Macaca fascicularis: one gene and its partner. The protein of the gene in region 2 purifies or fractionates together with the protein of the main gene of each other region. This does not show direct contact. Links are inferred from orthologs where the notes say so. Each region holds a gene or a part of one and is shown on either strand. Other genes may lie near its edges. The genes, in order: RNF114 and DTX3.

Region 1 (4,232 bases), on a different chromosome or scaffold from region 2:
TTAATTTCAGATAGTGATTAAATATATGAAGGAAATATGGCAAACAGACCAGCTGGAGGGATCACAGAAAGCTGCTTCTGAGGAGTTGGCATTTGAGCTGGGTGGGACCTGATTACGAGGACAGCCACACAGATCTGGGTGCAGAGCTCCACACCAAGATGATGCCACACACAAATGAGGACTGGAAAGGCAGGCAGGCAGACCTTGGGGGCCACAATGCGGTAGACCATGGTGAGAAGGGCAAGCGATAAGGCAGTAGACACAGGCAGGGCCTGTGGCCATCACTTCTGTTGCCTGTTCACAAATGCAGATGACAACAGGAACCCAAGAGAGCACAGAGGGTCCAGTGAGTATAATGCAACCAAACCCAGCATGCAGATAAAAGCAGCTCGAAGTCTCTTTGCAAGCACACACACAGGTTCAGCTCATCTATCAAATGTTCATGAGTCACTTTGTGCCTGAGACATACCCAAACTACCAGACTGCTTTGGAACTGCTCAAATATCCTGGGCTGGCTTTTCAGTTTCTATTTCCTATTTATGGGCCCTTTCCTAGTTCAGCCTTCTGACGCTCCACTCTGTCACAGTGCTAGGAAGAAATTCTCCTCTCTTGGGCACCCAGCCAGCTGCCTTTCTCCAGCTGTATTCTACTGGATTGGAGAACGCAGTCATTCAGGGCTTGAAATAAAGTTTTATAAAAATCCAGTGCCCCAGCCAGAGTTGTAGTGATGCTCAACTTTCCAAGCACAAAAGGTAAAAAATCAAGTAGGCACAGGAGAAAGCATTCGGTTGGAGCTAAGGGGGACTCAGGCTGCCCTCACAGAGGTGCTTCCATCTGTCTTCAATTTGCACTGAACTGCTGAGCACGTGGGGCTAGGACAGCGAGGACAGGATAGAGAAGAGCCAAGGTTTGAATACCAGTAGTTCCTTGCCCTCTGACCTAGGAAAGGTTCACCCAGCTCAAGAAAATCTCAAATTTTGCTGCTCTTCATTTAGCAAACTGTGCTGGGTCTAGCCTTTTTACAAATGTTAATAGTAAATGAAATCCACTGAATTAATCCAAAATCAGGTAAACCTGATCCAAGGATAAGCGGATTCAATGAAAAAGCTAAAGACCACTTCAACTCTCATGAAGCTTGCTTACACGACTTATTAGTTCATTCAACCATTACCTGATCATTCACCCCACGCACAGAGGTGTGATCCCTGAAATACCCTCCCACTTGCAGAATGAATTTCTACAATAGTTTGACGAGTCATTGGTACTGATTTGTAAACTCTGAAGGCAGAGTCTACCCCAAGATCTGGCACATAGAGGCCATTCCAGTCAGTTGAGGGGCAAAAAAGATATGGCCACTCCATCATGAGCTGTAAGTTTTGCTCTGTGCAAGCAAGGAGAAGGAAGTTAAGTCCCAGAAAGGAAGTGGGGGAAGTAATTTAGATGGGGATGGGTGTTTGGTGAGGTAACCTAACCAGGGACTTGAAGCCCGAAGCGGGGGGGGGGGGGGGGGGGGGGGGGGTTGGGGAGGAGTTCCAGGCTAACTGAATTGCAAAGAGGAATAGCCTAAAGCTACATGATGAGGCAAAAAGCAGCCAGTTAGGTGCCAAGCACTGTTCTCTAGACTATTAAAACGGTCACCTGCAGTATATCTGGGAAGAGTTAGGCCACGGCGACCCTTCGACAGGCAAGCGTCGGACCCTCGGTGTATTCACCTGTAAAATGGCTGCCAACCCTCCCCCGCTGCAGGGTGGCTATAGAATAATGCCCATGGAGTGCAATGGCTACTGTGCCTGCTGACTAGTGAAGGGGTGCCAAGACCAATGCCAAGGTGATCCCACGGTAAGCACTGAGAGAGACGAGAGGAAAAGCCAATTCTGAGGCAAGAAGCAGGTGGCCACGTTGTCTACAATTCTTTCAACTCAGGTGTGTCTGTGCGTCTGATGGAACAAGGCTTAGATTCAAATCGACCAACCTCGAAAGCCCCGGCCACAGCCCAGGACTGGACATCTTTACACATATCTGCTTTAATCATTATAACCAGTCTATTCACAGTATTCAGGTCATGAAGGCTTAATTGAAAACTGAAAGAAACAAACCTCCTACACAGGAAGTAGAATGCTAACAATCCCATCTGCCAACTCCCACCCCCTTTCACAGCTAAGGGCAAACTGGCCAGATCCCCATAAAGACTTCCCTTTTGTTGTTTTAGTCTAGTCCAGCGTTTCTCCCAACTTTGGTTCGTATTAGAATAACTCGCCACAGCTAGACTCAATGCCAAATGTCCTATGCTTTAAGAGCGACGCGGTCTAGAAAGGAAACGTCGGCTCTCCAAGGGCGGACTTCCGAGCCTAAAGTCCCTGCAGGGCACGAGTCCACTATCACGTGTGGGAAGGAGACTGACAGGCCGACTGGAACATTGCAGGCGCTCAACGGACAGCAGCTGCCCCGCTAAGACGGGCGGAGGGACGGGATACTTAGAAGTAAGCGGGGCGGGACAGAAGAGCGCCCCGGCAGCTTTCACGGCCCTTAGGAGCCCCGGGGGACACCCCCGGGAGGCCCCTCTGGGTGGGTCCTCTGGCTCCCGCCCTGAGACGCATCTCGCTCCTCGGCTCCATTTCCTTCCCAGTCAGTTAAGTGCCTCCCGACCAGGCCCGGGCTCGCCGCTTACACGTGTCCGCAGGGCACCTGTACCGGCTTCTCGTACACCTCTAAGCACACGGGACACGTGAAGCGGCCTAGGGGATCAGCCTCCGCCGCCGGCCCCGCCAGCTGCGCAGCTCCCCCGCCGTCTTGCTGTTGCGCCGCCATCTTGCTGCCGCTCTGCGCCGCGCAACGGCGGCCGATGAGGAGTAGGCCAAGGGGGCGGGGCTCGCGGCCGGAGGGGGTGGGGCTCGTGGGGCGGTGAGCGGTTGGGGGCGGGGCTCGTGGGTGGGCGGCCCCTCGCGGCCCCTGGGGCCCCTCTGACCCAAGCGAGCTGGAGGCCGAGGGAAATCTGGAAAACGTGGAAGCCAAATCCAAAGGCTGCCAGAATTGGGACGGGCTCTGCGCGTGGGCCGCTGTTTTCCAAATTTAAGTCGTTAGTTCGGCACCACTTGCACTTATCACTATTTATCTTCGAATCAAATTGCTTTTTCCTTAAATTTATTTATTTATTTATTTAATCTATTTTGGGAAAAGGTCTTGTTTTGTCGCCCAGGCTGGTGTTCAGTGGAGCGATCATGGCTCCCTGCGGCCTCGACCTCCGGGGTTCAAGCGATCCTCCCACCTCAGCCTCCTGCGTAGCTGGACCACAGGCAGTCACCACTATGCCGGACTAATTTATTTATTTTTGTTTTTTTTTTTGTAGAGATGGGGAAAGGAGGTGGGGAAGGGGCGATGCCGAGAGCGGGCGGGTCTCACTGTTGCCGAGGCTGGCCTCGAACTCTTGGACGCAAGCGATCCGCCTGCCTCAGCAACCCGAAGTGCTGGGATTACAGCGGTGAACCACCGTACCCAGCCATTTCTTAAATTTAAGCAAATTTAATAACATCTAATTCCTGAGCTGCAAGAAGAAAGTCAATATCATTTATTTATACAAAGGAGCTGGGTACGGTGGCTTACGTCTGTAATCCCAGCACTTTGTGAGGCCGAGGCGGGCGGATCGCTTGAGCCTAGGAATACGAGAGCAGCCTGACCGACAAGGTGAAACCCTGTCTTTACTAACAATACAAAAATTAGCCAGGCGTCGTTGCCCATGCCTGTAGCCTCAGCTACTCAGGAAGCTGAGGCAGGAGAAGCCTTTCACCTGGGAGGCGGAGGTTGCCGTGGGCCAAGATCGTTCACTCACTCCAACAGTCACTGAACTTCAGCCTAGGCAACAAGAACAAAACTCCATCTGAAAAAAAAAACAACAACAATAAAGCACATTCCTTTCAAATTGTGCAATAATCACCATCAGCTATCTCTAGAATTCTGGTCGTCTTGCTAAACTGAAACTGAAACTCTGTCCCCATTAAACAATAACTTCCTGTTCCCTCCTCCCATCCCCATACCCCCAAGACCCTGGCAATTTTGTCTATGCTTTTGAAGCACTTATAGCTATAAAATTTCCCCTGAGCACTGCTTTCACTGTGTCCAGTAAATTTTGGCATGCTGTGTTTTTGTTTTCATTTGTTTCTCAATATTTTCTCTCTTTATTTATTTTATTTATTTATTTATTTTGAGATGGAGTCTCACTCTGTCGCCCAGGCTGG
Region 2 (4,354 bases):
TTTTCATCTTTTTTTGTTTTATTAATAAAAAATTGTGTATTTGCTCCCATTACTATCATAATACAGGGAATAAATTATTCAATCCAAATTCCTGTACAGAAATTTTTATTTTTTTATTTTATTTTTATTTTTTTAATTTTACTTCTCTGAGGAAGCCTGTGCTTAAGGGTGCAGAGACCAGCTGAAGAATTCTGGTGTTCAAGGTGTTGGGCCCCTAACTAAGGATGTGGGTTTCTAGACAGATGGCTGGGAACGTTTTTTAAAAAGCTGTGAAGGGTGTGCACCGGAATGGAAAACTTAAGTCTTCAACTTCGTGGGAGGTCAGAGGTAGTGAGGGCCAGGGAAGGGTAGGGTGATGGGACCCTTCCTCTTCCCTGAGTTCTGGGCTTGCTAACACTCCATCTTTGTAAAGGTGAGTAGGCCTCTCAGCCCACCAGCTAAAAGAAACGGAATCCAGTATTCCCCCAGGCTTCCTGGGAAAGCTGTCTTCTTCCTGGAGGGAAGGAAGAGTACAGCAGAGTCCTGGGAAAGTGAAGAAAGTGACCAGCTCTCCAGTCTAGAGGGGGAGTGAAAAAGGGGTGGATGAATAGAGGTTGTTGCCAGTTTGGGAGATTCCTGTCTTGGCTGAGGAAGTCTTTTGGCTGGTGGAAAAACCTGGCTTGATGTGGCCCTAGGGAAGTGAGTTGAATTGGGCAGAGACTGCTTGATGTGGGAAGCAGAGCAGAGCTTTTTTTTTTTTTTTCCTGAGAGTTTTTAACTCTATTTGAACCATACACACTTGACACTACCACCACCTCAAGCCATTTTTTAAAAAATGTATTCGTTTCCCATTCTGCACCAGCCTCCATATCGCTGTTTGTGGAAAGAGAAAAATCAGAGGCACTTACCAATGACCAACTGAGAGCAGGTTGTGGGGGTCACAGGAGGTAACAATCTAGAAACAGGCAGATGAGGGAGGGGATTGAAATAGTTTAGTACCCGGATTTGTTTATTTTTTAAAACCAATGCTTTTTTTTTTACTATGACTCTTCCCATCCCACATTGTTCCTCAAAGGCCCTTCTACCATAAGGATTCAAAAAATTGCCGCCCTCCCCCCCGAATCCCCATATACCCACCAACACTTCACCCACCCATCCACCACCAGCTCCCCGGAGCTGCTACGCAGCTGGCTGGGAAAGAAAAGGGAGAGTGCTCCGCCGGGAGCGGGGAGCGAGAAGGGTGGCGTCTCCAGGGATTTAACCTCCTACCCTCAGTTCCATGACGCCACCCCCTCCCTCCAAAGACTGGAACAGCGCCTCCATTTTTGTTTTGGGGAGGAAGGGCAGGGGCTTGCGGATAGAAGGGGGTCAAAGGAACGGTGATTATCACCTGTGAGGGGAAAGAGGGTGCTGTCCTCCCTCCTTCCCTTTCCCTCAGCCTGCACCCCCTGCAACCCCCAACCTTTCGGGGTCTCCCCCCCCCCTTGTTGCTAAGGCCCGGACCGTCATCCCAGCAACAGCCTCAGTCATGTGACCGGCAATGGCGGCGCTGACGAGAGGTAGGTGAGCCCGGCGCCCCCCACACCCACCGCGCGCCCCCCAGGCCCCGCTCGCACCCCTCACACGCCCCTCGCTCCCCCGGCGCCCCCTCCTCCACCTCCCCTCCCCGCGCGCGGCTCCGGGTTCCCCGCTCCGTGCCCGGCCGATCATCTTTCTAGCACCCTCCAGCCTTGGCCTCCATTCGGGGGTTCTGAGGGCTGCGATCGGGGCCGACATGCATCCCCGCCCGGCAATGGGGATCCGGGGGCTTTGGCGAGTGAGGGATGTGGGGAGTTGGTTCCGGGTCGGGTCTTGGAGGAGGCCGTGGGGGTAGGGCGGGAGCTGCCTCAGTGGATGCCCCCAGGGACCCTTGCCCTTCCGGGCTGTCCCTCCCTCTGGCCTCTATCTAGAGGGAGAGACTGTCCCTTGTCCGGCCTGGGTTCCCACAGAGGAATCACAGACCCACCCTAAACTGTGGCCCCGCCTCCCTTTTCTGTGCCAGCAGGACTTGGAGCTAGGACACCTAGGTCCTGGGTCCCCTGTGATGGGGAGGGGGGTGTTGCAGCGCAGATACACTGTATGGGCTGAGACTCTAGGGTTCCATTTTCACTTTATGAATCTCGAGGTGCATCTGGCCTTGGGGGACGATGATGGAGGCATGAAGGGACAGCTGCACCTTTTTGGATCAGTCATTGAATGGAGGTCACACTAATGGCCCTTCTTTCTGTTTGAGCTGCATTTGGAAGTGTTGTGGGTACAGCCTGGTAGCCCAATGCGACCAGGCTCAGGGGAAACATCAGGCCCCTCCAGCTGAGCCCTTGTGTGAGCCCCGCCCCTCCCTAAATGCCAGACTTGGGAGCTGACAGACAGCCCTGCCTGTGCTGGGTTTAAAAGGTGACAATGAGAACTTTGTTATTGCAGGGGCTGCTGCCACTTTGTTCACATCCTTAACAGACTTCAGCAGAAGGGACTGAGTTAGCTCTCAAGGAAGGCTCCCTGGCAATAGGGGCTGAATTATTTGGGAACGTGGAGCAGGGGAGGAGTTGGAGAGCATAGGAAATATTCCGGTCCATGTGATCTGAGGGAGGTGGCAAGAAGACCTCCACCTGTGTGGGCGTTTTCTTTCCTGACATCTTTTATGTGTGCCCTAGGCTTTCTTGGGGGCCTCAGAGCTGGGGAAGAAAGGAGGAAGGTTAGCATGTTCCTTCTTGAGCAACTTGGGGAGAAGCTGATGATGGAATTCTGCAGAGGAGAGAGGAGATGGAAGTGGAGTTTTTATTTCTGGGTTGGCTGAGGGAAATGGTAACATTTGCCATCATAACTTTTTACCCTTCCCCTATTCCCAGTCCTGGTCAGCTGAGTGGAAATAGAAGGATTTCTGCTGCCATCATCTTCCATGGGCTTCCCAGGTATCTCTCCCACAAGGGATCCTCAATTTTCACCCTTAAGCTGGTTTCCTTCATTCCATGTTACCATTCTCAGTAACCTATACCCAGGTTTCTGTCTCTGTTCCATGGGCTGCTGGGTTGGGGGCCATGGGAATTGGGAGAAGGGGTTTCTCACTTTCCTTCCTTTTTTTCCGCCCTACCAGCTCACATGACCTACAAGTAGGGAGCAGGGAAAAAAGAGTGAGCCTGCATGCCAATTCTAAGCTCTTCAGGATCAAAGTAAGCAAAAAGGAGGGGCAAAAAGTCTCCCTCCCCTTTAAAGAGCCCATTTTCCCCCCAGAAGTGGGAGGGGCAAATTGTTTCTATGATCTGGGAGAAATGACAGGAGAAACAAGACTGATACTTGGCTTAGATGATAATACAGCTCTGGAAACTTTTTTGCTCTTCAGTGGGCACTGGGTTTGGAAGATAAGGGGAGAGAGAATATGAATTTGGGGGAAGGGTTGGGGATTAGGCTTTGAGAAAACAGAGGTAATAGAGGGTTTGGAAGGAACCTGAAGTAGGAGGCACTGATACTTGTCAAATGGGGACCCCCCACCCTGAGTCCCTTTCACCCTGGGGGCAGTGTCGTTCGTCCTGTCCAGAATGGCAGCCTGTGGAGGCACCTGCAAGAACAAAGTGACTGTCTCCAAGCCTGTGTGGGACTTCCTGAGCAAAGAGACCCCAGCCCGGCTGGCCCGGCTTCGGGAGGAGCATCGTGTGTCCATCCTAATAGATGGCGAGACTTCTGACATCTATGTTCTCCAGCTTTCCCCACAGGGCCCTCCCCCGGCCCCTCCCAATGGGCTCTACCTAGCCCGGAAGGCTCTTAAGGGGCTGCTAAAAGAGGCAGAGAAAGAGCTGAAGAAAGCTCAGAGGCAGGGGGAGCTGATGGGCTGCCTGGCTCTGGGGGGTGGAGGGGAGCACCCTGAGATGCACCGCGCAGGCCCACCCCCTCTCCGAGCAGCCCCACTTCTGCCCCCAGGGGCTCGGGGGCTCCCCCCTCCTCCTCCCCCCCTGCCCCCACCTCTTCCTCCTCGCCTTCGGGAGGAGGCAGAAGAGCAGGAGAGCACCTGCCCCATCTGTCTGGGGGAGATCCAGAATGCCAAGACATTGGAGAAGTGCCGGCATTCATTCTGCGAGGGCTGCATCACCCGGGCTCTGCAGGTGAAAAAGGCCTGCCCCATGTGCGGCCGCTTCTATGGGCAGCTGGTGGGCAACCAGCCCCAGAATGGGCGGATGCTGGTCTCTAAGGACGCCACCCTCCTACTACCCAGCTATGAGAAGTATGGCACCATTGTCATCCAGTACGTCTTCCCGCCCGGTGTCCAGGGGGTAAGAAGACCATGGCCCGCCCTTACCCTTTGGCTCTCCCCAGGCTCTGACCTAGGAAAACCGGGTGAGGGTGA

The links.
Region 1: the proteins of DTX3 (region 2) and RNF114 purify together in Homo sapiens (affinity purification with mass spectrometry; 3 studies listed by BioGRID and IntAct, counting the BioPlex papers as one, with this or other methods). This does not show direct contact. The link is inferred for Macaca fascicularis from reciprocal best matches to the Homo sapiens genes DTX3 and RNF114.

What each region holds. Positions count from the first base shown.
Region 1 is NC_088384.1:106,019,432-106,023,663, reverse strand, and holds the start of RNF114 (E3 ubiquitin-protein ligase RNF114), read right to left. Parts: upstream 2,823-4,232; 5' UTR 2,809-2,822; coding exon 2,669-2,808; intron 1-2,668. UniProt on the Homo sapiens protein: E3 ubiquitin-protein ligase that promotes the ubiquitination of various substrates. In turn, participates in the regulation of many biological processes including cell cycle, apoptosis, osteoclastogenesis as well as innate or adaptive immunity.
Region 2 is NC_088385.1:64,415,246-64,419,599, forward strand, and holds the start of DTX3 (probable E3 ubiquitin-protein ligase DTX3), read left to right. Parts: upstream 1-1,503; 5' UTR 1,504-1,538; exon of another isoform or gene 1,539-2,412; intron 2,413-2,669; 5' UTR 2,670-2,710; intron 2,711-2,864; 5' UTR 2,865-2,927; intron 2,928-3,109; 5' UTR 3,110-3,156; coding exon 3,157-3,185; intron 3,186-3,531; coding exon of another isoform or gene 3,532-3,550; coding exon 3,551-4,280; intron 4,281-4,354. UniProt on the Homo sapiens protein: Regulator of Notch signaling, a signaling pathway involved in cell-cell communications that regulates a broad spectrum of cell-fate determinations.